Linked DNA regions of Mus musculus. The protein of the gene in region 5 interacts with the protein of the main gene of each other region in a pairwise test. Links are inferred from orthologs where the notes say so. Each region holds a gene or a part of one and is shown on either strand. Other genes may lie near its edges.

Region 1 (3,786 bases), on a different chromosome or scaffold from region 5:
CAGGCCACAGCCTGCCAGTGTCTTCCTGCATGTCTCAGTATACTTGCTTTTTTATCCCTTCCTGGGCTGGCTCATCCTCTCTGCTTTGCCATTCCTTTTGACCTTTAACCCCTTCCTAGACCCGACCTGAACTGTCGCCCCTTCTGCGGACCTTTTCCCCGAAGCATGAACAGCTCCTCCTTCTAAGCGCTGAGTGGACGTGGTTTTAAACCTGTACCACAGTTTGACTGATGGCAGGCTGGCCGTTGCACACACAGCCTGTGTCTCTCCCCTCCTCGAGAAGGGATCTGAGGTCAAGAATGCATTTCTTGCAATGCAGAGGAAGCCAGTGCCTGCTGCACAGAGAGGTCCCCTGAGAGTGGAATGGGAAGGAACAAAGCTTAGACATCCTGCACCCCTTTAGCCACAAACCCTTTCCCATCAGTTCACAAGAACTCTCAGAGCTACTGTCTCATGATTTAGAATAGCAAATCTGTTGGATTGTTAGGGGCCATTTTGTGTCATCTTTTGTATAGAGGTTATAACCCTGTTTGACTTATCAGCTAGATTTTGAAGTATGGGGAGGAGGAGGAGGAGGGTTAACCCAGGGGCCTGGCCCCCTTCCAGCAGGGCCACCTGATTACACTTTCTGTCTCTAGCTTAGACCCTTTCCACACGGCTCCATGAGGCCTGGACCAGGACAGAAGTGTCACTCCAGGTGACACGTCTAGTCTTTTATCCTAGGAGGCTATTAATTAGTCCAAGAACTGTGGTGCCAATTCTTGATCGGGCACCAAGGGAATCTCCCTCAACCTTCAGACCCCTTCAAGTGCTACACAGCAGAGCAGATTAGAGAAGGAAGCCGAGGCGTTGCCCTCCCTCAGAAACCCTCATGCCTGGTCTGTCTCCCCACCCTCCACCCCCCCTCTAAAAACTAGAAAAGAAACGCCTGGTGAGAATCGAGAACAGGTTAGGGCTCTACGGCACCCACTGCCCCTTGCACCCTATCTCAGAGTCCCACTCCCTTCCCCCAGATACTAGGCCAAGCACCCAGAAATGATGAGCCACCAATTCTGAGTGGCCGCAGTTCTCTCAGCCCTAAGGACATCTCACAATACCCAGTTGTGCCCTTCCCTTTGGGTCAGCCCCAACTTGGAAGGTAACATCACCACCACAGAGGCCTGCCCCTCCCAGCCCCACACTCTTCTCACCCCAAAGCCTCGGCCTAGGGTGGCAGGAAGGGAGGGAGGGAGGTGCTGGGCACAGGCTGTGAAAAGCAAACCCCCTCCTGCTCAGAGAGGGCAGCCGCCCTGCGCCAGGATGCACGCCGGCCCGGTGACCCCGGCCATGCAGTCCACCGAACCCTGGAGTCCTAGCTGGGGCACGTTGTCCTGGGACTATTCGGGCTCGGGCTCCCTGGACCAAGTGGAGTTGTGCCCTGCTTGGAACCTGCCTTACGGCCACGCCATCATCCCAGCGCTCTACCTGGCGGCCTTCGCCGTGGGCCTGCCGGGCAACGCCTTCGTGGTGTGGCTACTGAGCCGGCAGCGCGGGCCGCGGCGGCTGGTGGACACCTTCGTGCTGCACTTGGCGGCCGCCGACCTGGGCTTCGTGCTCACGCTGCCGCTGTGGGCCGCGGCAGAGGCGCGCGGCGGCCTCTGGCCCTTCGGCGACGGCCTGTGCAAAGTCAGCAGCTTCGCGCTGGCGGTCACGCGCTGCGCGGGCGCGCTGCTGCTGGCGGGCATGAGCGTGGACCGCTACCTGGCGGTGGGCCGGCCGCTGAGCGCGCGCCCGCTGCGGAGCGCGCGCTGTGTGCGAGCCGTGTGCGGCGCCGCCTGGGCTGCGGCGTTCCTGGCGGGTTTGCCGGCCTTGCTCTACCGGGGACTGCAGCCGAGCCTGGACGGCGTGGGCAGCCAGTGCGCCGAAGAGCCCTGGGAAGCGCTCCAGGGTGTCGGGCTGCTGCTGCTGCTACTGACCTTCGCGCTGCCGCTGGCTGTCACCCTGATCTGCTACTGGCGCGTGTCGCGCCGCCTGCCGCGCGTCGGTAGGGCCCGGAGCAACTCCCTGCGCATCATCTTCACCGTGGAGAGCGTCTTCGTGGGCTGCTGGCTGCCCTTCGGCGTCCTGCGCTCCCTCTTCCACCTGGCGCGGCTCCAGGCGCTGCCGCTGCCCTGCTCCCTGCTGCTGGCTCTGCGCTGGGGTCTGACTGTCACCACCTGCCTGGCTTTCGTCAATAGCAGTGCGAACCCGGTCATCTACCTCCTGTTGGACCGCTCATTCCGCGCCCGGGCCCGGTTCGGGCTGTGCGCGCGCGCCGGGCGCCAGGTGCGCAGGATCAGCTCGGCCTCCTCGCTCTCCAGGGACGACAGTTCGGTGTTCCGGGGCCGGTCCCCGAAGGTGAACTCTGCCTCGGCCACTTGGTAGCCTCCCCGGGATGGCGCAGGTGGAACGGTGCTTCAAAGAGAGGAACCATGTGCTTGCAGATGCGCCAGGGGACTGCCCATCAGCTTTCTCGGAGCTGGCTGTTGGGGCTGGCTGTTCTCACAAACCGATGGGGAAGGATGGGCTATTATATTAGTTTTCTCCAGGGCAAGAAAAGCTGTAGACACTCACCTGGAGAAGCGGGTTCACCTAGTAGATGGGAGGGAAGTGGGTTCTGTTCTCTGCTTCATTCTGTGTAATTCAGCCCAAATATCCAAACCAGACTCTCAAAGGTCCTTCTTGCTCCTGACTGTTCTTGCCCCTACAAAAGCCATTGTCCTTTGAGGAATTTCTTCTCCTGGTCAGCCCTCTAGCAACACCATCTCAAACACCTCTCCCTTCCCCTCCCCTCCCTCTTCCCCTCCCTCTCCCTCTTCACCTCCCCCTCTCCCTCTCTCTCCCTTTTCTCCTCCCCCTCTATCCCCTCTCCCTTTCCCTTTCCCGCTCCCCTCCCTCTTCCCTTTTCCCTCCCCCTCTATCCCGCCCCCCCCCCTTCTCTCCAGTCATCACTATGTTATCTATATTGTTTCTCATCCCCAATTCGGGTTTTCGTTTTCAAAGGCTCACGAAAGACATGGAAACTAACCCTAGCGTGAACAGTCCTGTGAGCAATTTGGTCCTTCCCACCCATTACCTCACACTGGTGTGGCAACCCTTCTCCCATCTAGAGACACCTGTGGGACTCGCCCTGAAAGTAGTTCTGGCCTTCCTTCTGAATGCTGGCATCTGAATTTTTTCAGTGGGTGTTCAGATTTTCCCTCACTCAGCCAGGGACCCCAGGTTTTTCTGTGAACACACATCTCAATAAAAACTTTTGTTGGCCCTAGTTGGCAACCGTGTCTTGATTTGAACATCGAGAGCGAGATGGGTGTCAGAAGGGTGTGTTACACAGTCAGACAAAGCTCAGCTCAGTAGTTCAGGCCCTTCAGGGTGATGGTTTGTGTGACCCTGGTACTGGGAGCGCCAGCTGCACCTGCGAGTGTGGTACTCTCAGCGGGCAGAGGATGACTTAGTCTCATTCTTTTAAAGGACATCGCACATCGAGATAGTGACAAGATGAAAGGAAAAAATGAGGAAGATGCACGGCATCTGCCTGCCAGGTGCCATTTCAAAGAAGAGATGTGTAATTTTGATTTTTAAATGTGGTCCAGGCTCCCCACCCCCACCCCCACACTCTGGGAGCTTTTCCAGTACAAATGTTTAAAATTAACCGTTTCAGTCTCTGGTTTATCCTTTGAGGCTTCCGGAAGGCTTAGAAAGTAAATGTTTTTACTTGAGAGGATTTAGCCTACAAACATTTTGATCAGTGAGGGAAAGACATTCCCT
Region 2 (3,500 bases), on a different chromosome or scaffold from region 5:
CTGTGCTTTGAAAGAGTTTCTTATTCACACGTAACCATTCTTCAGCTACTAGACTTACTGCTACCCACTCTCTCGGTTGTCACTATGATTGTTCTTACTATCATTGCTACTGCATTTGCTGTTTGAGCCTACGGTATCCTCTAGCTTTAAGGGTATCCCTTTCTTCTATCTTCCTAGGTTATTAGAGAATCTGCTTCCAGCCATGGACAATCTTGTCCCTTTAATACATACTACACACTTTTGTCACTTCCACTACATTAAAGTTGGTGCGCTTTGTTCTTCTGCGGTCCCAATATTAAAGCTTTCAGTTCTAGAGCCATCCAACAGGGTGGCCTCTCAACGGCTGACTGAGACCAAGGAGTCGTTCTGTTGAGAATCTCATATCTAGGAGGGCAGAAGCCAATTCAGTATCCTGCCGCGGCCATGTTTAATTTATTCTCTTGGTAATATGGGATGGTTTGGGTCTCCATTCTTTCATGATTGTTTATTCTAAGGGATCACTTTTCTTTACTCTGCAGCTTGTTTTCTTCCTTTACAAAGAAAATGATGCCATCGGGTTATTAACGCTTGGTGAAGTGCCCTCAGTGCCCAAGCATTTCTGTATGAATTTGTTGCCTAATGCTCACTGTACCTGTTGTTTCCCTGCAATTGCCAAGTACTGTAGTAGACAGTAATGGATTCTTCTATCTTCCACATCATCTCCAAGAGCGCAAGTTCTGTAAAAGTAAAAATAGATTAGACATATGGTAGTGTCTCAAACATTGGTTGGAAGATGAGTGAACTTCTTTAGACTCCCAGCTAATGGCCTCTACAAGCCATTGTGTCTATTCTCCAGGGTTTCACCTATGGCCCTCTCTTCCCTTTGTTCTTTGGTTTTCACCATTTGCTTATTATAGGAAAACATGCTAGGAAAATTCCGCCATCTTTCTGCCATGAGAACCCTTCCCCCACCAATTATCTTTCTCCCTCTCTTCTTAGAACCAAGTTTCTCTGATGGGTAGATGGTGCTATGTTTATGTCCTTTATTAAAACAAATTTCTAGTGTGCAACAAATGTCTTCCAAATATTCTTGTGTATCTGTGCCTGTTTTAGTGTTTTTTTAAGCAATCAGTAAATGATCAATAAATATTTATTGAAGAAAATGCATGCTCTACTTAAAAGAGGATGTGAAAAGAATTATTGTAATATCTGGTTCTGATTTTAATAGTTGATTTTAAGTGTTGCTATAGTAGATATATGTGGTCTGCAATGCGCTCAGAGGGTCTTTTTCAGCTTTTTTTTTAACTACTAAGGTTTAGACGTAGCTTCTGCTTTTGCAGTCCTACATGTGTGCCTCTGATCCTTGTAGGTGATGGAGCACCTCCTGGCAGCTATGGGAACTATGGCTATGCCAATACTGGTTATAATGCTTGTGAAGAAGAGAATGACAGACTCACTGAAAGTCTGAGAAGCAAAGTAACGGCTATAAAATCTGTAAGTACAGAACCAGTGCCATTCACATTGTAACTCATAGGTTTGAACTTAATGTCATCACAAGAAGGGATTCATTTCAGAATGGTGCACTGAGGTCAAAGTGCACCAAAAGTTCAGACCATTCATTAAATAAGTTAAAAGATACAGTATTCTTGCTAAATTTTTTTTCTCAAACCATACTTAGCAAAATCTAAAATGTACCATACATTATATGCCATAGGTCCAATGGTTCCAGGCATGCTTTCTGTATAATTTTAGGTTATAGGAAATGCTAACTTGTAATTTTCCCTACTTGTTGTTGTAGTAAAGAAAAAAATTTAGAATAATTAGTCTAGACTTACGATCAAAGAAATGACATATTTTGTAAGGAAAATATTAAATGTGTATGTGTGCATTTGACTTAGTCCTGTGGTACTTGTATGTTGTAAAATGTAAGGAATATACAGGTAAATACATTTATATAAGTAAAAGAGAAAATGTGCTAGAATAAGAGAACCAGAGAATGTTAACAAGTAGGTTGAATATTATAAAGAAAAGACGAGAGAAAATGTCACTGTTAAAAGAATGAGACATTTGAAATTTGTTTTCCAATAATTTCACTGGTCAGAGCATTGGGGAATCCAGTGAAGTAGCCCTTCCAGCATTTTCTGTTAGTGGCTTTCTCACTTCCATCTTTGATCCTCATTTGAATTTGGGTCTTCCCATGTTTCTTAAACATGGCCCTGACATTTATGTGTAGACCCATGGGAGAATCCTTGGACCTGTATCATTCCCCTTGATCTTCATAATGTTGTCACAGCTATTGGCAAAATTTCGTTGCAGCAGATCCTGCCCTCTCAGAAGTCTTTGGATTCTTCTGTTACTGCTCTGTGGATTTATTGCTCTCTCTACATGTTCTTCAGAGAATGGCCTGTCCTTCAGAGCTTCTCCCCGACACATCCAGAATGCATATGGGTTTACGGCCAGACAAATGAGAGTTCTCTTTTGTACTCTGCATACCACTGTGGCCCTATTCCATTTTTTTAAAAACTCAAACTGCTTTTGGTACTGTTGCCATCTTCCATCTTCCGGGAAGATGGCAGTACTGTATCTGCCCCTCCCCAGGCTTTCTCTCAGTACTACATCCAGTGTTAGCTCACTCCCTATAAAGCAAAGATCATTTGTGACACACATTCAGTGTAGTTCCTTCTCAGCAGGACTTGGTAAACTTCTGTTGAAGGAATTATACAAGATGGTTTTAAAAGTATGTGCCATTGGTTTTCCATGGCAATAAACATATTACACAGTTGTGCAGCATTCAATAGAAATTCACATTGTCTCATGTAATTGGTATTTAATATCAGTCTTTGGAAAGTTATATTCAGGTTGTACTCAAAATAGTGTTTTGATATATGGTATTATTTCCAAAGTCATCTTAACTAAAATGATTCAATCTATGGACCTAATAAGGTGGACTGTTAAAAAGTTAAGTTAAACAATGGGAAGGACATAGAATTGAATGTCTTAAACCACAAACAAGGGAGCAAATTCCTCCAGTTGATTAGGACAATTCTGTGTTAGAAGAAAGCTGTGATATCCTGGCGAGTTCTTTCCTTGGCACGAAGGTCATGCTCAGAGTAGTTGGGTAAATTGGGATCCTGCTTTATCATCTGAGCTGAGAAATTTGGGGGAAAACTTCATATCTTATTGCTATAATATTAATATAACTTCATAAAAGTATTATGTATGCTTTTCAAACAGACTAAATTTAGAAGAACCTTTATGGTTACACACAAAAAGTTTCCGTAATTGTATTTAGTCAAGTAAGTGTAAACCTTTGGTGACTTTGTTGTATAAGTTATGAAGTATGGTTTTGCAGAGCATCTATAATTAGTTATATTGTTGTTTGACATGCTCAGATTCTTTCAGTATAATTTTAGGTTATATATAACTTTTAAGGGAGTTCACAATTTATTATATTAAATCAAAAGTCTTTAAAAAATATTCTAGACTTAAATTCAAAGAAATGCCTTATTTTTAGGGGACTA
Region 3 (4,138 bases), on a different chromosome or scaffold from region 5:
GCAGCTCTGTCTTGGCCCTCAGGTACAACTCAGGAGGGCTCTGCGCCTGGAGAAGTTCATTTTTTATCTCTCTCATCCTCTTGAGAACATTTTCTATTTTTATAATGGAATGGTTCTGTCCCAGGTCAAATGCATGTGTACTGTCAGCTTCCTCTTCTAAGTCTAGGTATTTCAGTAATTTGTTGATATCTTCCACCACCTCCCTCCGATAATTTCTGATCTCTGTACGCCCACACACATCTAGAGCATCTAAGTCAGCAATCAGTCCTGACAGCACGCAGGATAAGTGCCTGCAAGTCTCGGAACTGTCCACGCCCATCAGAAGTGCGATCAGCGTCCCTCTGGCCTTGTTCACCTCGCACATGACAGAGTTGATTTTGGCCACTGAAGGATGCACATCCTCAGACAGTGGCAGGGACGGCTGCTTCTTCATACAGTCCTCAATAACCTCCTGTACCGCGCAGATCTTGGTGAGCGTGCGGTACCTGGCTTTCCGCAAGGAGACCTTCCCTCCGGTCTTCACGTGCGTCAGCCTCAGAATGATGTCCTGGATGCCTTCCTCAAACTCGTCAGTCACACAGTTGCCTCCGCTGTAAAAGGGCACAATCTTGTCTTTCACAAGGGCCTGAGCCTCCTTAAAGATATTCTGGATTTCGATGCGGTGTGGGTGGTTGGCATTCTGCTCCAACTCCTTGAGGAGACGTTCTGTCTCCTGTGCCGCCCGCTTCCTAGCTTGCTGGATATCTCCTTTTCCTTCCGTATCCACAGAGTCAATTTCAAAAAGTTGTTTGGTCAGAATCCTCTCCAGCCTCTTGTAGTTCTTGTCATCCGACAGGCCGCTGAAGCCGACCACTTGCGGCTCTATAGCCTTTACTTCCCGCTGGATCTCCTGAAGCCTACTAATGGAGGGGTGTTGGTTTCCCATATCCATACTTCTGTGTTCAGTTTCACAAGCACTGAAAGATAGCAAGAATGATAACGTATTAGTCTCTGCAGGACAAGAACCCACTCTAAACACTCCTTCTTAGTACACTTGTTAAAAGGGCTCATTCGGGCTGTGGAGATAATTTTTCATCAAGTGTCCAAGCTGGAATTCCAGAACACATGTGGAAAAAAAAAAGCTGGGGCGGAGCTGGAGAGAGGGCTCAGTGGTTAAAGGTGCTGGCTAGAGGACCTGGGTTTGATTACCAGCACTCACATGACAGTGCATGACCACACAGGTAACCCCAGTCCCAGGGCATCTGATTCCCTTTCTGTCTTCAGAGGCACCAGGCACACAGTGATGCACAGACATCCATGCAGGCGAAGCGCCAACGCCCATGAAGTAAAACAGAAAAGCCAGGCAAGCCAGTGCCGGGGAGACGGCGATAGATGGATCTCGTGATTCACTGGCCAGCCCAGGTTAGCCTAACCGAGGACCTTCAGGACCATGGGAAGCCCCACTTCAAAAGCCAAAGTCAAAGGACACCAAGGAAATGATGGTGGGCGGGCAGGGAGGCCAAACTCTGGCACCTGGGCATGCACCAAAATACACAAAAGGTTTCGTCAAAGGTGTAAAAGGTTGCTTGAGGAAAGGGAAGATGTGACATGTCAACTCCCTCTCCTGAAAACAGCTGGACAGGAACAAAACAAAGCAAGCTCACCGGTGTGCTGGTGTATCCCTACAATCCTAGCGTCGGGGATACAGAGGAAAGGGAACTACGAATTCAAGATCACCATGGGCTACTTGGTGACCCTAAGAATTCAAAGCAAAACGGAAATAGGGGAACACGGTAGGGATTTGAACGACAGACAGAAGGTCCTCATGATCCAGCCTGGGTGGATGTCTAGGCCTATGAATTCTGTCTTAAACCATGAGAGCGAGCTGCGTACACTGCCATTCTAGTCAACCCACCAGGTTAGCAACACAATTTCCTTAGATCCCCCCCCCCCCCATCCTAATCTACTCTCTGGAACCAGTTTGGAAGTTAACAGTAGCTCTTCCACACTCACAGGAGCACCATTCGTCCAGACAGCTAGCTAACTTTCTACTTTTCTGAAAGAGGAGCTACGAAACTTCCAAATCCTCACCCTGACTTCAAATACCCGCCGCCCAAACCTGCCGACTGCGATTAACTCGGTCACTCGCCTCCCGGTATGTGCGCTTAGAGCATTTCCCACGCTCTCAGGTTTCTGTCAAACAGCTCACTTCTGGCGGGCAGGCCACAGAACTCAGTCCCCGGGAGGGTCCAAGCCCGGCCCTCGCAGAGCTTTTACCCCGGGAGGTCTGGGCGGCGGCGGTCTTGGCTGCCGCGGGGGGCTGCGAGGTGGGAGATCGGCCCTTCACGGGGAGCGGCACCGCAGCGGTGCCCCCAGCGGCATCCCCCCTCGCCCTTCCCGGCTAGGTCTGACCCGGGCAGCCGGTGAAGGGGCCGGCGGAGGCGGCGGCAGCTACTGGCCGCGGCGGCCGCTCCCGGGTCTCGGCCCGGCCGGACGCGCCGCCGCCTGACCTCACAATGGGCGCGCGGCGGGCGCGGGCCTGCGCAGCGAGGGCGGCGGAGCGCCCGAGGCCGGGAGAACGGAGCTCGCGCCCTCGCCCCACGCTCACCTGGGCCGCACGCGCCATCGCGCCCCGCCACCTACACTTCCGCAGCGTTGTCGCCGTCCTCGCAGAGCGGGCCCGTCAGCAGTGAGCCCGGGGAAAACTTGTCCTCTCCTCGTCCCGCGCGGGCCCCGCCGCCCGGCGTCCGTCCCAGGGAATGCGCACGGTCGGCCTCGCCGCGCGTCGGCTCGGGCTTTGCGACGCCGCCGTAACGCCAACCTTTCCACTGTCGCGATCCTGCCGTACGCGCGGGCCATGGCGGCTTTGCGGCCCGGAAGCAGAGCGCTTCGCCGGCTTCTCTGCCGGTCCTTCTCCGGCGGCGGCGGCGTTAGGTTGGCCCGTGAGCGCCCTACGGATCACAGGGATGCGGCGTCCAGCCGGGTAAGCGGGACGCCGGGGGCGCTGGCAGGGAGGAAGGCCGCCGAGCAAACCCACGCCGCCTGCACCTCTCCGACGGACTGATGATCACTGCCCGGGATCCGCTGTGGAGAGCGCGAGCCTTGCTTATCCCCGAGTTAATTCCCATTTGTATTAACACAGCTCTTGAAGGGTGTTCTTTCTCATTTTCGCATCGTTAAGATTAGTGTTCGACTTAAAGCCGTGGCTGACTTCATCATCCCACTTCTGTAGACTTCGCATTGTTTGTAAACGTGCACGCGATGTCAGAGATCCACAGTGCAGGTCTGCAGCAAGAATGGGCGTGAAGCCTTTTTCAAAAAAACAATTGCTGGGCTGGAGAGATGGTTCAGCTGTTAGGAACACCGAAGACAGTAACAATGCACTCACATATATAAAACTAAATAAAGCTTTTTTTTTTTAGTCAGTTGCACTTCTTTTTTTTTTTTTTTTAAGATTTATTTATTTATTATATGTAAGTACACTGTAGCTGCCTTCAGACACTCCAGAAAAGGGAGTTCACATCTCGTTACGGATGGCTGTGAACTACCATGTGGTTGCTGGGATTTGAACTCTGGACCTTCCAAAGAGCAGTCAGGTGCCCTTACCCACTGAGCCATCTCACCAGCCCTCAGTTGCACTTCTTTGCAACAGAATGCTTTGCTTAAGGAAGGCCTAGGTTGCCAGGCGTGGTGGCCCACGCCTTAATCCCAGCACTCGGGAGGCAGAGGCAGGCAGATTTCTGAGTTTGAGGCTAGCCTGGTCTACAGAGTGAGTTCCAGGACAGGGCTACACAGAGAAACCCTGTCTCGGGAAAAAAAAAAAAAGGCCTAGGTTTAGAGTCTATCAGTCATATGAAAACGCTAAGGCTGGAGGTAAAACATTAATCAGTGGCTACTAACACTTCAATGACCACTAAGCTAGTGATAGAGACTAGAGAGCTTGGTTTAAGCAATAATGAAGAGAGGGAAGGAGGGATGAGGAGAGAGAAGAGAGATGGAGAAAATTAAGAATTGCAAAATGTGCTTGCTGTGAAAATTTTCATCTCTGCTATGCTGTGTCTCCTTGCACACTTTTAGCTTTGAAGTTCTGACTACTCCAGTTTAGATTTGTTGCCTTAGGACCCTGGCCTCTGGCTCAGTTTCCTGGCACAAGAAAAAA
Region 4 (4,046 bases), on a different chromosome or scaffold from region 5:
CTACTGTGCGCCAAGTGGGGTGTTTTATGCCCATCAGAAGGTTGAGGCAATTGGCTTTCTTTTGAGTTTGAGGCAAGCCTGCAACATAACAAAACACACTACATAGAACCTTAGTGAAAACTGTTGTGAGTAGCTTTTCTAGAAAAGTCCAGAGATGTTTACAAGCAAAATCAAGGGAAGGGCTGAGTCCAGGTAACTGAATGCCTCTGAGCTGGGGCAGGTGCTTCTGAACGGGAAGGGTCCTACTGTTCCATCTTACCTCCCAGTCTTCCAAGTTCTGTACAGCCACAAATAGGCAGCCTGTGACATAGAAGAGCTTCCAGCCCAGACTATCTGCAAGCAGACAGTATATCAGCTCATTAGCTCAGGAGCCAAGGTGATGTCCATAGGTGGTCCTTCCCAGCCCAACCTTTCTTTTGGCTCAGATTAGAGGCTTAGGTAATGTGCTTCTGTCACCGGAGCTACTTAAGCCCCAAACTCTGCCTAATTCCACCTAGAGGATGGGTAGATCGATACAGCCTTGCCATGGAGATGGGACACATCCTCCCTGCAAGGTGACAGGCAAATGCTAAAGAGCTTTACAAGAGGACTTTGTAACACAGTAAGAGATTTAAGATACAAGACATGGCCTGGGATCATCTCCCACACAAGGCCACCCCAAAGCCACACACACCAAGACTGCTTTTTGTTCATTTCCAAGTGCAAGGAAGCTGAAGGGGAGAACATACTTTACCTCCACTGTAATAGGCAGCAGCCAGGCCAGTGGATAATATTCCTGTAGAGAGAGGGAGAGAGTACCTTGTTAACTAGCCAAGGGAAGACCCATTTCTTCACAGTGCTATAGCTGTCTCATGGTAGCACAGCTTGTTCAGGGGCAACAGGTAGAGGCTACCTAGTACAGAGTTGGTGAGCCAGCTAAGATGTTTGTTTCAAAACGGAGGAGAAGGGGACTGGAAAAGAGGGCTTACTGATTAAGAGTATATACTACTTTTGCAGAGGACCCAGTTCAGTACTCAGCACCAGCACCCATGTCAGGCCATCGCAACCTCATGCAACTTCAGCTCCAAGAGAGCTAATGCTCTTCTGGATTCCACAGGCACCTATACGTACCTGCATAGAACCCCCATATAGATACACACATAGTTTAAAAATAAAATTAAATAAAAAGCAAGATATCCCATCATGGCATTCACCAGACTTGTCTGCAAACAAATGACAAACGCACAAATGACCCTGAGGTAGGTATTGCTTACATGGGATGAGGGATGAAGACTACTTACAGAATTATAACAACACCCGAGCATAACATGCAGAAAAGCATGTGTATATCATAAGGACAGACTGCAGAGATGCTGCTGAAGCCACAGCTAGTGCCTCACCTCAGACTGTACAGCCCAGCCAACACAAGTGCACCTGTCCCTGAGATACAAGAGCCTTCTGACAGGCAGCGATGGAGGAAGAGGCTAAGTGCGCTTATGAAGAGGTCTGAGCCAGGGAAGAGGAAAGATGGGAACCCATGATCACCTGTCACACAGAAGGAAAACTATAGTGACCTCATAAAAAGCAGATAGGCTGGGAGGGCATCTCAGTGTTAAAGAAGTGTGCCCAGCTTGCAAGGCAGGGAGGGTATCTCAGTGTTAGAGTGTGCCTAGCATGCAAGGGGGTCGGTCCTGCATGCCATCTGAAAGAAAAGGCACCCTGAGGGTTAATGAAACATGCTTTATCAAGGCCTTGTATTGAGAACCTCTAATAGAACACAAAGAAGCTGTTTACGTCGCTTTTTAGATTGGGGGTGGGGTGGGGGGTGGGAAGCCTTACCGACCAGCAGGGACCAAGACCGGATGCCTGGAGCCCTCTTCAGATGGAGGCGGGTGCTGGTGCGTGTCTCCACCTGCATATACATTCTTGGAACCTGGGCTCTACTGCACAGCCGACCAGGCTTGGAAAAACACAACTGAAGCCTGCAACCAGTGCACATAGGCAGCACCTCATTAGTCCAGTCAGGAGGCCAGGGGAAGGTCCACAGCAGACCCCGAACACCTTTCTCTTATGAGCCCACTTAACTCACAATTATGTATGGGCATCGGGGCTACACAGCTCACAAATTTGGTGTTGGTCTGAACTCACTTCCAAGCCCCCAGTCTTGTGAACCCTTTTCTTGACTGAACTCTTATCTTTAAGTTGTTCCATTAGTAAGCCCCCTCCCCCTCCCCCGCCCCGACACACACACACACAACTCAGGCTTCCGGCACCTTACCCGAATCTTCCAGAAACAACTCTTCCCACCAAGAACGGGAAGTGAAAGTACCATCGTGTATGAGTCTCTACATTCATAAGCTGTCAGATCCCTGTTATTGACGCCAGACTACCTAACAATGGCCCAAATGCGCCGAATTAATGGGACACTGCGGCAGGACGTCTGGAGATTAACACCCAAGGCCCCAGTTCTGAGTGGCTCCTTGGATTCCCAGGGGCAATCAAGCTTCATACCCTACATCCTCAAGAATCCTAGTTAGGCACATAACTTGCCTCCCTCTGGCTTCAGTTACCAACAAGCTCCACTAGCGGCCCGTTACGCTGGCTCCTCCTCCGGAGTGCACACGCCCGGCTTCCTCAATTTGCCTTGCGCCTGGTCCAGATCCGCAAGCGATGACCCGCACAGGGCTCGGCGGGTCGGAACCCGAAAAGTTGTAGGACACGCACCTATGCGGACAACGAGGGACTTGTAGGAGAATGAGTGGGAGAGAACAGCCCCTCGAACTTCCGGACTTCTGTTCCGCAGACTTCCGGGATAAGAGCTGGGTGGGAACCTCCCAGGGGTGGAGACTGAGTGATTACGCAGTCGGGGGTTGTGCCTTTGTGCTTCACACTCCTGGGGACAGGGACAGGTAGGGCACCTGAATTTAGCCCCTTGGCCAACCAAGAAAGATGTCACTCAAGGAGGTTTCCTAGTTAAGCAGGATATGGGCGTGGTTTAGAAGCCTGGGGAGTGAGTGGATCTGGATTGGGTTTTTTTGTTTGTTTGTTTTTGGGGGGTTTTTTGGGTTTTCCAGACAAGGTTTCTCTGTGTAGCTCTGGCTGGCCTGGAACTCAGAGGGATCTTCATGCTTCTGCCTCCCGAATGCTGGGATTAAAGGTGTGTGCCACCGCCTCCTGGCTAGATCTGTAATTTTCAGGAAATGATAAGAGGTCATATTCACCAGATGCCTAAGGTATAGCAAACATGATCTGACTACCCGAGGTCAATCTAACAAAAGATGCACAATAAATGAAAGTGGGGACATGGCCACTCCTAGGTATTGTTGACGAGTTTCTTATTGTAAATGTGAGGGAAAGCACATATGGAAGCGTCTGGTTGAACATGTCCAGCAGAATAGAGCCATGAGAGGAAAGAGAGAGGGGCAGAGTAAGAGATGAAGAGAGGCGAGATGGAGACAAAAGACCAAGAGGGCAGACAGCACGTAGTCACGATGTCAGATGTCAGCACGTAGTCACGATGTCTGGGTTTTATAGGCAAAGAGAAGTTGGAGGGAAGGGAAGGGAAGGGGAGGGGAGTTGAGGGGAGGGAAGGGAAGGGAAGGCAGGGGCTTGGGCAGGGTTAGAGAGGTCTAGGGTAGTGGGCAAGAGCTGAGGAGTCAGGACTCTGTAACAGGTACTTGCTGAGAGCATGGCCATCATCTACTTTGATGGTCAATAGGCACCTCAGTTAGCCATTTGTCCCCGGTTTCTTTCAGACCTAACACACAATAACTAGTGACGTAAAACCTGGATCACATGTTCCTATTTTGTAGTTTGCCTCCAACATACCTACGATGATCTGTGGGTGCTAGGACGGCATGCTGGAGCAGAGATTTCCATTACTTTACCGTTCTCTTTAGATCTACTTGTTATGGGATTCCTAATTTTATAATGACTTTATAAAAGTACACAGCATGACCCTTGAAGTTTTGTCAATTTATAGTTACAGTATATACTGAGAAAACTGGATGAGGCAGTCTCTCTCTAATATTTACTTATTTATTTTATGTATAGGAATACACTGTAGC
Region 5 (4,252 bases):
GGATTTCCAAGAGTCTGAGAACCCCACAACCCTGGCCTTGTCACAGGCCTGGGACCCCAGAAGGAGCTCTGGCTTTCCCACCCTGGGAGCAATGTCACTTCCTTACAGCCCAGCATCCACCCCAGAGGCAGTATGGGATAAGCCCAGTCAAACTCCCTGCTTCTGTGTCCTGAGTGGCCTGCAATGTGGATGCTGGGAATCCATCTCAGGTGTTCTGGAAAAACATCCATTGCTCTTAAACAGTGGTCTATGTTTCCAGCCCCAGGAATGGATGTTGATAATAGGGACAAAGCTAACAGGGTCCAGAATGCACCACAAGTTGTCCTGAAAACACCCGGCAGACCTTTCATCTAGACCAGGCGTCCTAGTTTGCTTTCTACTGCTGCGGTGCGTGAGCACCACGATCAAAAACAACTTGGGGTGAGCACCATGATCAAAAACAACTTGGGGAGTCTATTTCATCTTGTGATAGATCACAGTCCATCACAGAGAAGAGGCAGGGTAGGGGCTCGAAGGAGGAACTGAAGCTTGCTCAGGGTTTTGTTTTGTTTTTTTTCATACAACCCAGAAGCACCTTCCCAGGGGTGGTCTTGCCCACAGTGGGCTGCCATCCACATCACTCATTAACCAAGAAAATATCCCCACAGGCTTGCCTACTGACAGGGTAACTTTTCAGTTGAGGTTTTCAGATGACTCTGGCTTTTGTCAAGGCAACAAAAAACTAAACAGCACACACAGGGTCTGATGGTCAGTAAGGTGAGAAAGACCTTGCACTTTTTGCCTCTACCTCCCGAGTACTGGTACACTACCCTGCCCAATTCACTAGGCCCTAGGGATTGAATGAGGGCACCCTCAGTCAAACACCGTACCCCTGAGCTACATGCCCAGTCCTTATCATTACATGCATGTGTTTTTAAACAGCAAGGGGTAGGAAAGTGAACATGATAGGGTCTGCATGTGGAATTCAGGGGCCCTCCTTGCACCATGTGGGTCCTGGGGATTCTTCTCAGATCGATCACCGGGATGGGTGGCAAGTGTCTTTACTCTTTTTTGGTTTGGTTTTTTTTTTTTTTTTTTTTTGGCTTTTTCGAGACAGGGTTTCTCTGTGTAGCCCTGGCTGACCTGGCACTCACTTTGTAGACCAGGCTGGCCTCGAACTCAGAAATCTGCCTGCCTCTGCCTCCCAAGTGCTGGGATTAAAGGCGTGCACCACCACGCCCGGCTGTTGGACCCTTAATAATAAAAAAGTTCGAATAGTCCACAGGCATGGACTGAGGCAGGGTGATTGCTTCAAGTCCGAAGCCATCCTGGGCTACATAGCTAAGCAGTAAGTAGAAACTATAATAGTTTGGGAAAACAGCTTGGGTACCTATTAATGCGGGGGGCGGGGGGGGGGGAGGGAATGGAGCGGAAGTGAGGCTGGACCAGACTGCGCATCATTGTGACAGTGGCGGGCGAGCCAGACCCAAAAGAAAGAACTTGGTTCAAAGACTGACAAGAAGAAAAGGATGAACAGGGAGTCCTTCGGTTGAACTCTCTCCTGCTTGGCCCTATTTTGTCAAGCAGAAGGAAAGGATTTTTGTACCGCAGAAGAAAGCTGCCGATAATATCGCGCCATCACCGCTAGCCCCACTAGTGCGCATGCACTCGATCCTCAGGTCCAGCCTATCCTCCCGAGAAGCTCTACGCATGCGCCAGCTCAAGGGTCTTCGTAAGGAGAGACCCGGGCGCCATCCACTCGGAGTGCGCTTGCGTGAGTACAAGAGCCTGAGAGGGCGGGACTTGCAGGAGGCCGGCTCATTTGCATTTCTGGCGGGAAAAGGCGCGTGTGAACACGCCTCTTCCGTGACATTCGCAACCGCCGTTCGTCGCTGGTGTCCCTCAACTGAGTCCCGACTCCAGGTACGCCCTGCCTGTGGCGACTTTCATGGCAGGTTCCCCGGTAACATCACCTGCCAGCTCCTTCAAAAACGCCCCAAGTTTTGAGACAAGGTTTCTCTGTGTAGCCCTGGCTGACCTGGAACTCACTCTGTAGACCAGGCTGGCCTCGAACTCCGAAATCCTCCTGCCTCTGCCTCCCGAGCGCTGGGATTAAAGGCGTGCGCCACCGTGACCGGCTTCCTCAGGAAAATTCTAGTGGCAACTTCGGCAATCCTGTCAGACTCTTGAAACTTCCGGTTGCTTTTTGTTGCTTGTTTTCTATTTTTGTTTGAGACAGACCCTCCAAGTGCTGCCCAGGCTGGCCACGACCTCATGATCCTCATTCCCCAGTTTTAGGATTACAGCTCTCCCAGATGTGCCCAACTGCAATCTTCTAGAACTTTTGAAACCTAACACTTAATCTATTTTGTTTTTGTGGGTAGGGTAGGTGTTTTTGTTTTGAGACAGGGTTTCTTTGTGTAGCATTGACTGTCCTGGAACTCTCTCTGTAGACCAGGCTGGCCTGTGTGCTTCTGGTTCCCACGTGCTGGGATTAAAGGTGTGCACCACCACTGCCTGGCTTTTGTTTGGGTGTTTTTGGTTTTTGTTGTTGTTGGGGTTTTTTGTTTGTTTGTTTGTTTTTGAGTATTTTGCCGGCATGTTTGTATGTGTGTCAGGTATGTGCCTGTGGAGACCAGGTGGTTTTGTATCCCTCTGAACTAAAATTGCAGATGAGGAGGAGTTCACATGTGTGTAGTGGGATTCCAACCCATATCTATCTGGAAGAGTAAACTGTTAGTCCTCTTAACGACTAAGCTACCCTCCAGGGACTCTCTAGGGCTTCAGTAAATTGCCCAGACTCTACTCAAAACCTTGGATCCTGCTGCCTCAGCCTCCTGAGTGCTGGTATCACAGGTGTAGCCCACCACGCCAGCCGCTAGGATCTTCTAGATATCCCATCAGAGTCTCCCTCAAAAACCTGTCAGAGACTTTTCCTCTGAAATCTTGGTGGAGATTTGGTGTTCAAGTCCTATCTGATACTTTAGAAATCTGTAGTTGCCCTACAAGTTCCGCCGGGGACTCTGAAATCTAGTGACACCCCAGAAATGCAGCCCTTGAATTCTAGTCCAGGGATCCCCTCCAGACTTCCTCCATGTTTAAAACCCACAAGACACTCACTGGCCACCTGATATCCCTTGTTCCTCAAGATTTTGTCCGAGTTTCCCCTTGAAAGAGTCTCAGAAAGCCTCTTCTTTCCCTGGTGCCTTCTAAAAGCCTCTGAGATGGACAGCAGGAGGATCCCCACTAGCTGAAGACCAGCCTGCTTTACACAGCTTCAGAAGGCCCACTACAGCTAAAGCTACATAATATATATTTACTAAGTCCCTGTCTCCAAAAGCCAGATAATAATGTCTCCAGAAAACATTCGGCTGCCGGAATACAGGCAAGGCAGAGTGATGGCTGCATTCCCTGAGGAAAGGGAGAGAGGCTGCTTCTCTCCCCTTCGGTGACAAAGATATAGGCTGGATCACTCCAGATTCAAAATAGATTAAGGCGGGCTTACGAGGAGGCATCAACCTCCACCCACCTCACACGTGGAGATCAGTGAAGTCACACATCCAGGCTAAGCTTAGCAAAGGTGTTTTATAAAGCTTAGACGGGGAGTGATAACGTGCCAGCTAGGGGCTGGGATTATGTCCTTACATGGTCAAAAGCTGAGACCCCGGGGGCGGGGGGGGGGGGGGTTGGCACTTATGGGTGGATAGCTGGAAAGTGGAGAGGAGAGGTGTTAGCCCCAAGTTTTGTCCTTGTGGGCAGAGTTGAGGGGAGAAGAGCAAAGGAGGTTTCTTAGCTTTTGCAGGGGATGAGCAGGGGTTCCAAACAAACAAAGGGGAGCCAAGCAGGAGGAAACCCAGGCTCTCTCTACCCTTGGCCCCAGTCCCTAGAGGGACTACTGACAGTGCCTCCTTTTCTCCTGAAAGTGACTGGCCAGTCGGGCGTGGTGGCCAGCACTAGGGAGGCAGAGGCAGGCAGATTGGATTTCTGAGTTCGAGGCCAGCCTGGTCTACAAAGTGAGTTCCAGGACAGCCAGGGCTATACAGAGAAACCCTGTCTCAGGGAAGAAAAAAAAAAGTGACTGGCCAGGCTGTAATAGAGGCAGGACAGCACTGTCAGGGTGCAGAGGAGGGAGTCCCTGTGACCACAGAAGCCTGTGAGAGTCAAGCCCACTCATAAATATAGGCCTTGGGAGTGTCTGTAAAGATGTCTCAGTGGTAAAGAGCACTGAGTTCAATTCCCAGCAACCACATGGTGGCTCACAACCATCTGTAAT
Region 6 (3,500 bases), on a different chromosome or scaffold from region 5:
TGAAGGAGGACTGGAGGACCCTAGGGGACCAGCACAGAGAGCTGGAGAGCCAACTGCATGTGCTTCAGTCCAAACTACAGGTACCAGGCCCGGCAGTGGGAGAGGAAGGGAGGCAGAAGGGGGGAGAGGGGTCTGCTGAGAAAGGAGTCTCCTAGGTTGGGCCTCAAAGGTTGGATACACGTAACAAGCAGCTTTCAAGTCTTCATCCACTGCCCACTTAGTACCAGACTCACTGTTTTGCTCTGAATCATAAGTGCGTATAGAGGGAATGCCTACACTGTCCATGCAAATGAACTAAGTACCCACTGGAAAGACATTAACCAAATACAAATGCCTGAGTTGGGGCATTCATTGGGTTGATTGGCCTACCAATTGCACACTATTCAAACACCACCCCAGCAGGGCACTCAGTGCATAACTGCCCATTGTTTTGTACATAATAAATGTTACTGGTTTATTTACAGGTACTAACACATCCTGCTGGTGTGTTTCTTAATAAATTTCAGTAAATTCTTGTCATGCTCAAAAGTTCCTACACTTTCAATCTGCCACCTTAGAAAATCTAATTAATCTACATTAATTAATTAATGTAGATTAATTGATTCATTTATAATTAATTTAGGGTCTTTTGTTGCATGGATTAAATGTGACTACTCACACAACATGTGTGGCATAGTCTGGTACATATGAGCACTTCACTCGGGTTAGTAATTACATGGAGGCCTGACATTCCACGCTCCCCAAAGCATAGGAATTAATCCACTTGGGCCAGTCAATCTTCTGGCTAATGAACCACCCCTCAGGAAGGCAGATTCACTTTAAGCCATGCCAAAGAAGGAAAAGTAATTATTCTTTTAGTGAGATCATGTACTTCCCCTTCCTAGAAAGCCTGAGCCTGGTGTGGTCACTCACAGAGTCATGGCCACGCTACTTGGTCAAGCCTGACCAGTCCTCTGAATTTCTCAGAAAAATGTAACTTTTCTTTTTCACATCTTCTTTCTTCCTAACCCTTGCTGAAGCCTAGGTGTGCTTCCACAACACTCCTGGCTTTCTCACTCTTCTTTGATGTTACCCTCTCCGCATCCCCTTTGCCATATGGCTGCGTGCCAAACTGCCGAATCCCCATCCCTAACTCAAAAGGCATGACTTTCTTTCCCTCTTCTCCACCTTTATCCTCCAGGCAGCTGCTGACATTCACAGGATTCCCAATCTGCCTCTGTTGTCATTATTACTGTTTTTGGCTGTTTTGGTTTTTTTTGTTTTGTTTTGTTTTGTTTTGTTTTTAGTCTTCTTCAGAATCTGCTCTTAATATTTTTAATGTTAACCATCTTTCTTATTTTTATTCTCAAGATTCTAATTACATTTCTCCCTCCTTCTCTCTCCCTCCAAGCCCTCCCTATCTCCCTCCTAGCTCTCCTTCATGTTCACAGCCTCTTTTTCATCAATTATTATTTAATGCATATGTGTGCATGCATATATATCCCTGAATATAATCTGTTGAGTCTATATGTTACTTGTATGGATATTTTCATTACCTATAGTTCTCCGTGTAGGATTGAGGCCTCATGGGCTCTCTCCCTCATCTAGTTTGGCACACCCATTGGTGGCCTCCTTTTCCCTTCACATTTGGGCAGCCATGTTGGTGAGACTTTATGGGTATTGCTTCTGACATTACTAGGAGGCACAATCTCACAGAAAACTCCCTGATCTTACAATCTTTCTGCCCCCTCTTTTGCAATGTTCCCTGAGCCTCAAGTATGGAGTTATTTTATAGCTGTATTCATTGAGACCAGAATCCACAGGTATGCATTTTGATTGATAGTGGTTTTCTGTAGTGGTCTCCATCTGTTTCAAAGAGAAGTTTCCTTGATGTGTTCTTAACAAATCTAAGAACTCAGAGAGGAGACCCTATTTCCCTAGTAACATATGGCACCCCAGGTGAGCCTCCCCAAAATCTCCAGTTAACACATAGATTTCACATACTTAGTTTGAAACTTTGAAGATCTGCCCTAAGAGTGAATCTTTACAATTTCCCCAAACATGAATCAGGAAAATATATATATATATTTGATGAAAGAGGGTGTGAGACATTTAGAGGCACAAATTTTACTGGCTACACACAGCATCCACATCTTAACCTCTGCTCTCTTTTCTCATCATGCATAAGGCAATTCTTAGGAAAGTGTTTTGAGGTTTTTAAACCTTAATTCTTTGTGAAAATAGCCTTAACTGCCCCTCTCCCTCAACAACTGGTCATGCCAAAGTAAAAAGAAAGTAAAACATCTAGAAAATTCTGGCTTGATGTGGAGATCTGTCAAGGCATCGAGACATACATATCCCCATAAATATCAAGTCAGAGGCACTGCCATAAACATGCAGGATAGGGCAGAACAAAGAGAAGGGGAGAGCTTCCATTTCCTGACACCCCATCTCAGTAATCCTACTGTGTCCTGTTCCATGGTACCTGTCTGCTCTGTCGCCAGCCACACTGACCTGCTGCTCTGTGGCTCCTCTCCCTCCTCTTTGCAGGGAGCAGACAGCAGAGACTCACAGATGAGCCAGGCCCTGCAGCTTTTAGAAAATGAGCACCAGGAGCTGCAGACCAAACTCGAGAGCCTGCAGGGAGACGGAGAGCAGCAGAGCTCTGAGACCCAGGACCTACAAGGTACTCCTCTTCTTTGAGGTCACAGGGTCATTAGAACCACAACTGAATGGGCTCAGAGGAAGGAGGCTATGGGGAGAAGCTTTGCTCCTCATTTGTGCTTGGTCCCATGATTTCATTTCTCCTTGAGGGAAAGGCAGAGAAATGTCAATCAACCAAAATGAACCTTAGTTGTCCTTCATCTGAGGACTCTGCATGCTCTCTCCTCCAGCTTGACCCTGTGGGCCATACCACAGCTGCTCCCATACTAGTCACATGCAAAGGCCATATTCCTAATTTGAAAGGGAAAGGTTAGTACAAACACAGGCAAGATGAAGGCCTCCTAGATGTGCCTCTGTGGGCTGAAAGGACCCACTAGTGTGTGTACACAATATTGTGATGTTCCTGTGTGAATGCTGGCCTCTCCCTTCAGATCTGAAAGACACCTGACACTCCCAGGTCACAGAGGACAGGACTTACCTCTCATTTCCACCCTCTGGTGCTCTCCTATTTCTGTTTGTATTCTTTCGCTTTCAGATCAACTAAAGAAGTCAGAGGAAGAGAAACAGGCCCTGGTGAGCAAAGTACAACAGCTACAGAGTAAGTTTCCTTTTCAGGGTTCAACCTGCACAGGTGGTTTCTGTTGCTCCTGACCACAGAAGACCTTCGAAGGAGGGAGGGCTGAGCCATGGAGGCTTCAGTGTGTCCTGTTTCTGAGCATCCTCGAGCACACTTCCTGCAAGGGGCTGGGCTGAGGGATCATCTGCACAACCCTCCACAAGTTATATGGTTTCTTTCCCATGTTATTACATTAGCATCTGTCCTTGTGTTTCCTTTCTATGTGTGTGTGTGTGTGTGT
Region 7 (4,198 bases), on a different chromosome or scaffold from region 5:
ACACTTTTCACTGTACTTAATTTTAACTTCAATGTAATCGCCACACATGGCTAGCAGCTACTGAACTGCTGTCACTCAGCTCTAGTACTAGCCTGTGTTTCTGGACTTAACAGGCACAGCAAGAACCACTGCAAACTAAGCTGACAACCAGCACAAAGTGGGGCCTTAAATATAACATATGCACCAGAGTATGCAGCCACTGGCAAACACAGTGTCTGTTCAAAGCACTGCCCATTCCAGCCTTGCCACAAAGCACACAGCATCCCCTTTGGTTTCAGCACAGGGCAGGGGCAGGAAGGTGTGAAGAACTCTGGAAGTGCTCTCTCTCAACATGAAGCTGAAATTTGAGTCAGTCCAAATGTGACACGGAACAGAGTCACTTAGAAGGCACAAACAGCTTGTGTCACAGAGTCAACACTTGGTGCTCACAATCTATGGGTGCTGAGTGTACATTATTCTGGTCTGCTCCATCCTGTCAGGCCACCAAGCAGCAATGGAGGTGCGCCCAGAAGTCAGTCTGCTAGTCAGGAGGGAGTGTGTTTCCACACACAGCCTAGAGTGGGAGGCCTGACGGAGATGGGGTTCTGAGAATGAACTCTCTGGAAGGGCCCTTCCCATAAAGGCCGACAGAGGAGTAACCTCCAGGCACCAGAAGGAGGGCAGATGGCAACTCTCAAATCATAAAATCAGACGCCCATCCCTGGCAGACATACAGCACCTGCATGTTTGGGAAGAACCTTCAATTCCTGGGCAAAGGTCACAACCTGAACACCTACAGGACCCAGGACGATAACCTTACCTAGTTAAGACTTCAGTGAGAAACAAGCACCAGTGGCTCTGAGGAGAACCACTCCCTATCTAGCTTCACAGTGAGTTCTGTCTGCATTGGACTTAAACTCCCTTAAAGGCTGCTGCAGCACAACCAGCAAGGCCTGGACTAAACTATGGGCGGTTGGTTGACAAACTGCTTTTAATTAATATCTGTTTCAAGACAAAGGAAAAATTCTCCATTTTCTTAGGTAGGCTAGCAAGACTCCTGTCTCACACTTGAGGCATGCATGTTTGGCCCTTTCAGTCTGTGTCCAAGAACAAGAGTATGGCAGGGTGCAGTAGCCCAAACCTTTATTCCCAGTGCTTGGGAGGCAGAGGTAGGCGGGCCTCTGTGAGGTCAAGGCCAGCCTGGTCTATAGAGTGAGTTTCAGAACAGCCAGAGAGAGCTACACAGTAACTCTAATGACTCTACACACGTGGCTCTAAAAACAAGCAAACAGAAATATTAGGAAAGTTCTTCCCTTCTGTTGGGCTGAAATTAAAATCCTGAAAGCATCCTTAGGGATTTAAGGACTCGGAAAACAAGATAACCTCTCTGGCTGTTCTTATCTAAGAAATAAGTGGGAGTTAGGGAAAAAACAAACAAACAAACAAACAAACAAACACTCCTCGCCACTGCTTTTCCATGTCACAGTAAACGCAGAACGGATTATTTAGCATAACCGAACTCAGGAGTAAAACTGGCTACCACTTCTGCCAAGCAGGAAGACTAGTGTGGGATGGAAAAGCTGTCGTATGCAATAGCAAGAAACATGGGATGCGTCAGTCAAAAAGGAACAACGCAGATTAGTTGAGACACAACTTTTATGGTTGACAGTACTCATTGGAAACGGAGGGGAAAAAGTCAAACTTTGCTTTTTTTTTTTTTCTTTTCCTTTTTCTGACATCCACAGTAAAATGCGGAGGACTTAGCAAGACCGACTGGGCAGGTTAATCCAGTAGCGCCACCGATATACACCCACCTCCCCAAACTTCTTATCGTTGAACAGCTTCTAGTAACCTATTAGCTAAAAATAATTCCCAGAAGGAAAAGGCTACAAGTTCAACCCGAAACACGTCAACTACTCTTGTCATCCGGAAATCACTGGAAGAAACAAAACCCCTAGCGCCCCCAAACGCATTCAGTAGGAAAGGTCACTACAAAGGACTTAGGGCAGAAGTGCTCGAAGAGAACCCTCAAAAAGTGGCGACGATTGCTCGCTCACAAGGCGGCCAGGCTCAGGCTCTTGGAGGCGCGCCCGGCACGCTGCCGCTCTCAGCAAACGCCCCTATAAAGCACACGGCGCCGCGAGCCTCTACCCTCCTCCTCTCCCCGGAGCCCATCCACGCCACACCGGGCGCCCAGGCCGAGCGGGCCACGTGCGCGAGCCAGCGGCCCGGAGCCCACAGGACGCTCGGTAGGACAGCGTGGCGGCCCTCGCAGCTACTCACCCTGGCTCACCGCCCACCCGGCTGCGGGTCGCCGCCCCTCCGAGTCGCGCTCCCCTCGCTCCTGGCCGTCGCGCCGCCCCGCTCCTCCCACACCTAAGCCCCCGCGGACTGGGCCCCGCGCGTGGCGGGCACACGATCCGGAGTCGCGCGTGGCACAGAGGCTTCGCCGGCTCTGCGGTCGACCTTCGCCCGCGGTCGCGAGCCCAGCTTACCTCTCTCGGGAGCCGCCGCCGCCCGGACCCAGACGCCTCCTTCCCCACGCGGCCATCTTGGAGACTCTCGGTTCGTCGGGGGCTGGAGCCGACGCGGCTCAGGGCGCGCGGGAGCCGAAGGGAAACGTAGTCCCGTGAGCCGCGCGGACGAGGTGGGAGGTTGCGAGAAGGACTACACTGCCCACAATACCTCACGCCGGAAGCCTGCTGTAAGCTGCCGCGCGCAAGAGGGCGAGGGGGTGGGATCCGCCTTAGGAAAGAGTCTTCAAGTCGCAAAGTGCGAGTCGCTGCGCCCACCGCCTGGACGTCCTTGGGCTCCCAGAACGAGTGGCTGAAGGAGAGCGGAAAGAAAGCGCCTACCACTCCCAGAGCGCTTCGCGCGACGATCCCGCCCTCACAGCCTGAGAGGCCCAACCCTTGGCCTCGGCCCTGTTGCCCTTCACCGTGGCTTCGGCCGCTGGGGGCCTGAGTCCCCCAGTTCTCACACTTTACAATGACTTGAGCAGCTTAACCTTTCTCCTTTCCCATCTGCAGACCAGAACTCGTGCACCTTCAGTCCGAAGGTTACCTCTGCCTCCGCGGCGTCAACTGCCCCCCTCTCCTGACCGGAACTTGCCCGGCTGACAAATCCAGAGATTTTGAAGGTCTGTAGATGTGCTTGCCCTAAAACGCCTTTTCCTCCCAGTCAGGTTTTATGCTTGTCTGGTTTCTATAAAGTTCCTGGTTTTCAAATTGAATATGCAACTCCGCCTCCGATTGCCAAACTCGTAACACATGCAAGTGTGGCAAAAGAATAGGGATGTGTAGAGAGACGTCAAGAATAAGGTATGAGGGGGCTGCGGAGATTGTTCAGTACTTAAGAGCACTAACGGCTCTTTCAGGGGACTGTGGATCAGTTTCTGGCACGTGGTAGCTAACAACAGTCAGCTATTGCAGTAACGTCTGACGCCCTCTTCTGGCCTTACGACCACAGCACACGTGTAGTGCACAAAACACCCAGACACAATCAATCAATCAATCAATGCCAGTTGATAGTGCCTGGGATCCCTTCCTTGCCTGGATTACTCAATAACAAACAGCATGCAAGAGAAAAACTTGGCCTGGAGAAGGCAGGTAATGGCTAAGGACTTCAGGTTATGCATTCTTCCAGATCACTAGCCCATTCCCTACCTGAGTGTCTTTGTAAATTTTTTTTTTTTAAGTAAATTGCCTCTATTGCTAACTATGCATCTCTGATACAATTCTTTGTCCTGAGACACAAGAACCTAGGAACTTATGTAGGTGGTCCCTGTGACTCAGCCAGGAGGTAAAAATCTATGTTTTCTCTCCCATTTCCCCCTTCCTTAACTACACTCTACTACCCAGGAACATCTGTGAGAAAGCTCTCAGCTCTTTAGGAACCTGATAAAAGTGCAGGGGTGACGGGCAGTGGTGGCGCACGCCTTTAATCCCAGCACTTGGGAGGCAGAGGCAGGTGGATTTCTGAGTTCGAGGCCAGCCTGGTCTACAGAGTGAGTTCCAGGACAGCCACGGCTACAGAGAAACCCTGTCTCAAACAAACAAACAAAACAAAACAAAACAAAAAAGGTGCAGGGGCGTGTTCTCTTTCCCATTACCCTATAGCCACTGCCTAGGGGATGTCTGAACCCTTTTCTCAGCCCTACTGCAGTATGAGCAAAAAACAATGTGTACTGACCAGGGACTGCCAAGCCCACATTTAAGCT

The links.
Region 1: the proteins of Kash5 (region 5) and Gpr25 interact in binary tests that used the Homo sapiens proteins (3 or more experiments, as listed by UniProt). The two-hybrid records come from large-scale screens. The link is inferred for Mus musculus from reciprocal best matches to the Homo sapiens genes KASH5 and GPR25.
Region 2: the proteins of Kash5 (region 5) and Bet1 interact in binary tests that used the Homo sapiens proteins (3 or more experiments, as listed by UniProt). The two-hybrid records come from large-scale screens. The link is inferred for Mus musculus from reciprocal best matches to the Homo sapiens genes KASH5 and BET1.
Region 3: the proteins of Kash5 (region 5) and Bag5 interact in binary tests that used the Homo sapiens proteins (3 or more experiments, as listed by UniProt). The two-hybrid records come from large-scale screens. The link is inferred for Mus musculus from reciprocal best matches to the Homo sapiens genes KASH5 and BAG5.
Region 4: the proteins of Kash5 (region 5) and Cybc1 interact in binary tests that used the Homo sapiens proteins (3 or more experiments, as listed by UniProt). The two-hybrid records come from large-scale screens. The link is inferred for Mus musculus from reciprocal best matches to the Homo sapiens genes KASH5 and CYBC1.
Region 6: the proteins of Kash5 (region 5) and Traf3ip3 interact in binary tests that used the Homo sapiens proteins (3 or more experiments, as listed by UniProt). The two-hybrid records come from large-scale screens. The link is inferred for Mus musculus from reciprocal best matches to the Homo sapiens genes KASH5 and TRAF3IP3.
Region 7: the proteins of Kash5 (region 5) and Tmem11 interact in binary tests that used the Homo sapiens proteins (3 or more experiments, as listed by UniProt). The two-hybrid records come from large-scale screens. The link is inferred for Mus musculus from reciprocal best matches to the Homo sapiens genes KASH5 and TMEM11.

The regions. Positions count from the first base shown.
Region 1 is NC_000067.6:136,258,414-136,262,199, reverse strand, and holds Gpr25 (probable G-protein coupled receptor 25), read left to right. Parts: upstream 1-1,273; 5' UTR 1,274-1,326; coding exon 1,327-2,403; 3' UTR 2,404-3,286; downstream 3,287-3,786. UniProt on the Homo sapiens protein: Orphan receptor.
Region 2 is NC_000072.6:4,080,431-4,083,930, reverse strand, and holds part of Bet1 (BET1 homolog), read left to right. Parts: intron 1-1,348; coding exon 1,349-1,473; intron 1,474-2,295; coding exon of another isoform or gene 2,296-2,499; exon of another isoform or gene 2,500-3,500. UniProt on the Homo sapiens protein: Required for vesicular transport from the ER to the Golgi complex. Functions as a SNARE involved in the docking process of ER-derived vesicles with the cis-Golgi membrane.
Region 3 is NC_000078.6:111,710,457-111,714,594, forward strand, and holds the start of Bag5 (BAG family molecular chaperone regulator 5), read right to left. Parts: upstream 2,801-4,138; 5' UTR 2,588-2,800; exon of another isoform or gene 2,071-2,587; intron 957-2,070; 5' UTR 932-956; coding exon 1-931. Other genes in the region: Coa8 (cytochrome c oxidase assembly factor 8), read left to right, coding at 2,837-2,962. UniProt on the Homo sapiens protein: Co-chaperone for HSP/HSP70 proteins. It functions as a nucleotide-exchange factor promoting the release of ADP from HSP70, thereby activating HSP70-mediated protein refolding.
Region 4 is NC_000077.6:121,226,510-121,230,555, forward strand, and holds the start of Cybc1 (cytochrome b-245 chaperone 1), read right to left. Parts: upstream 2,801-4,046; 5' UTR 2,530-2,800; intron 2,432-2,529; exon of another isoform or gene 2,335-2,431; coding exon of another isoform or gene 2,258-2,334; intron 1,962-2,257; coding exon of another isoform or gene 1,904-1,961; coding exon 1,819-1,903; intron 776-1,818; coding exon 734-775; intron 334-733; coding exon 260-333; intron 1-259. UniProt on the Homo sapiens protein: Functions as a chaperone necessary for a stable expression of the CYBA and CYBB subunits of the cytochrome b-245 heterodimer. Controls the phagocyte respiratory burst and is essential for innate immunity.
Region 5 is NC_000073.6:45,202,093-45,206,344, reverse strand, and holds the start of Kash5 (protein KASH5), read left to right. Parts: upstream 1-1,452; 5' UTR 1,453-1,641; coding exon 1,642-1,753; exon of another isoform or gene 1,754-1,902; intron 1,903-4,252. UniProt on the Homo sapiens protein: As a component of the LINC (LInker of Nucleoskeleton and Cytoskeleton) complex, involved in the connection between the nuclear lamina and the cytoskeleton.
Region 6 is NC_000067.6:193,181,047-193,184,546, reverse strand, and holds part of Traf3ip3 (TRAF3-interacting JNK-activating modulator), read left to right. Parts: coding exon 1-80; intron 81-2,529; coding exon 2,530-2,665; intron 2,666-3,178; coding exon 3,179-3,241; intron 3,242-3,500. UniProt on the Homo sapiens protein: Adapter protein that plays essential roles in both innate and adaptive immunity. Plays a crucial role in the regulation of thymocyte development.
Region 7 is NC_000077.6:60,876,239-60,880,436, forward strand, and holds the start of Tmem11 (transmembrane protein 11, mitochondrial), read right to left. Parts: upstream 2,801-4,198; 5' UTR 2,531-2,800; coding exon 2,475-2,530; intron 1-2,474. UniProt on the Homo sapiens protein: Plays a role in mitochondrial morphogenesis.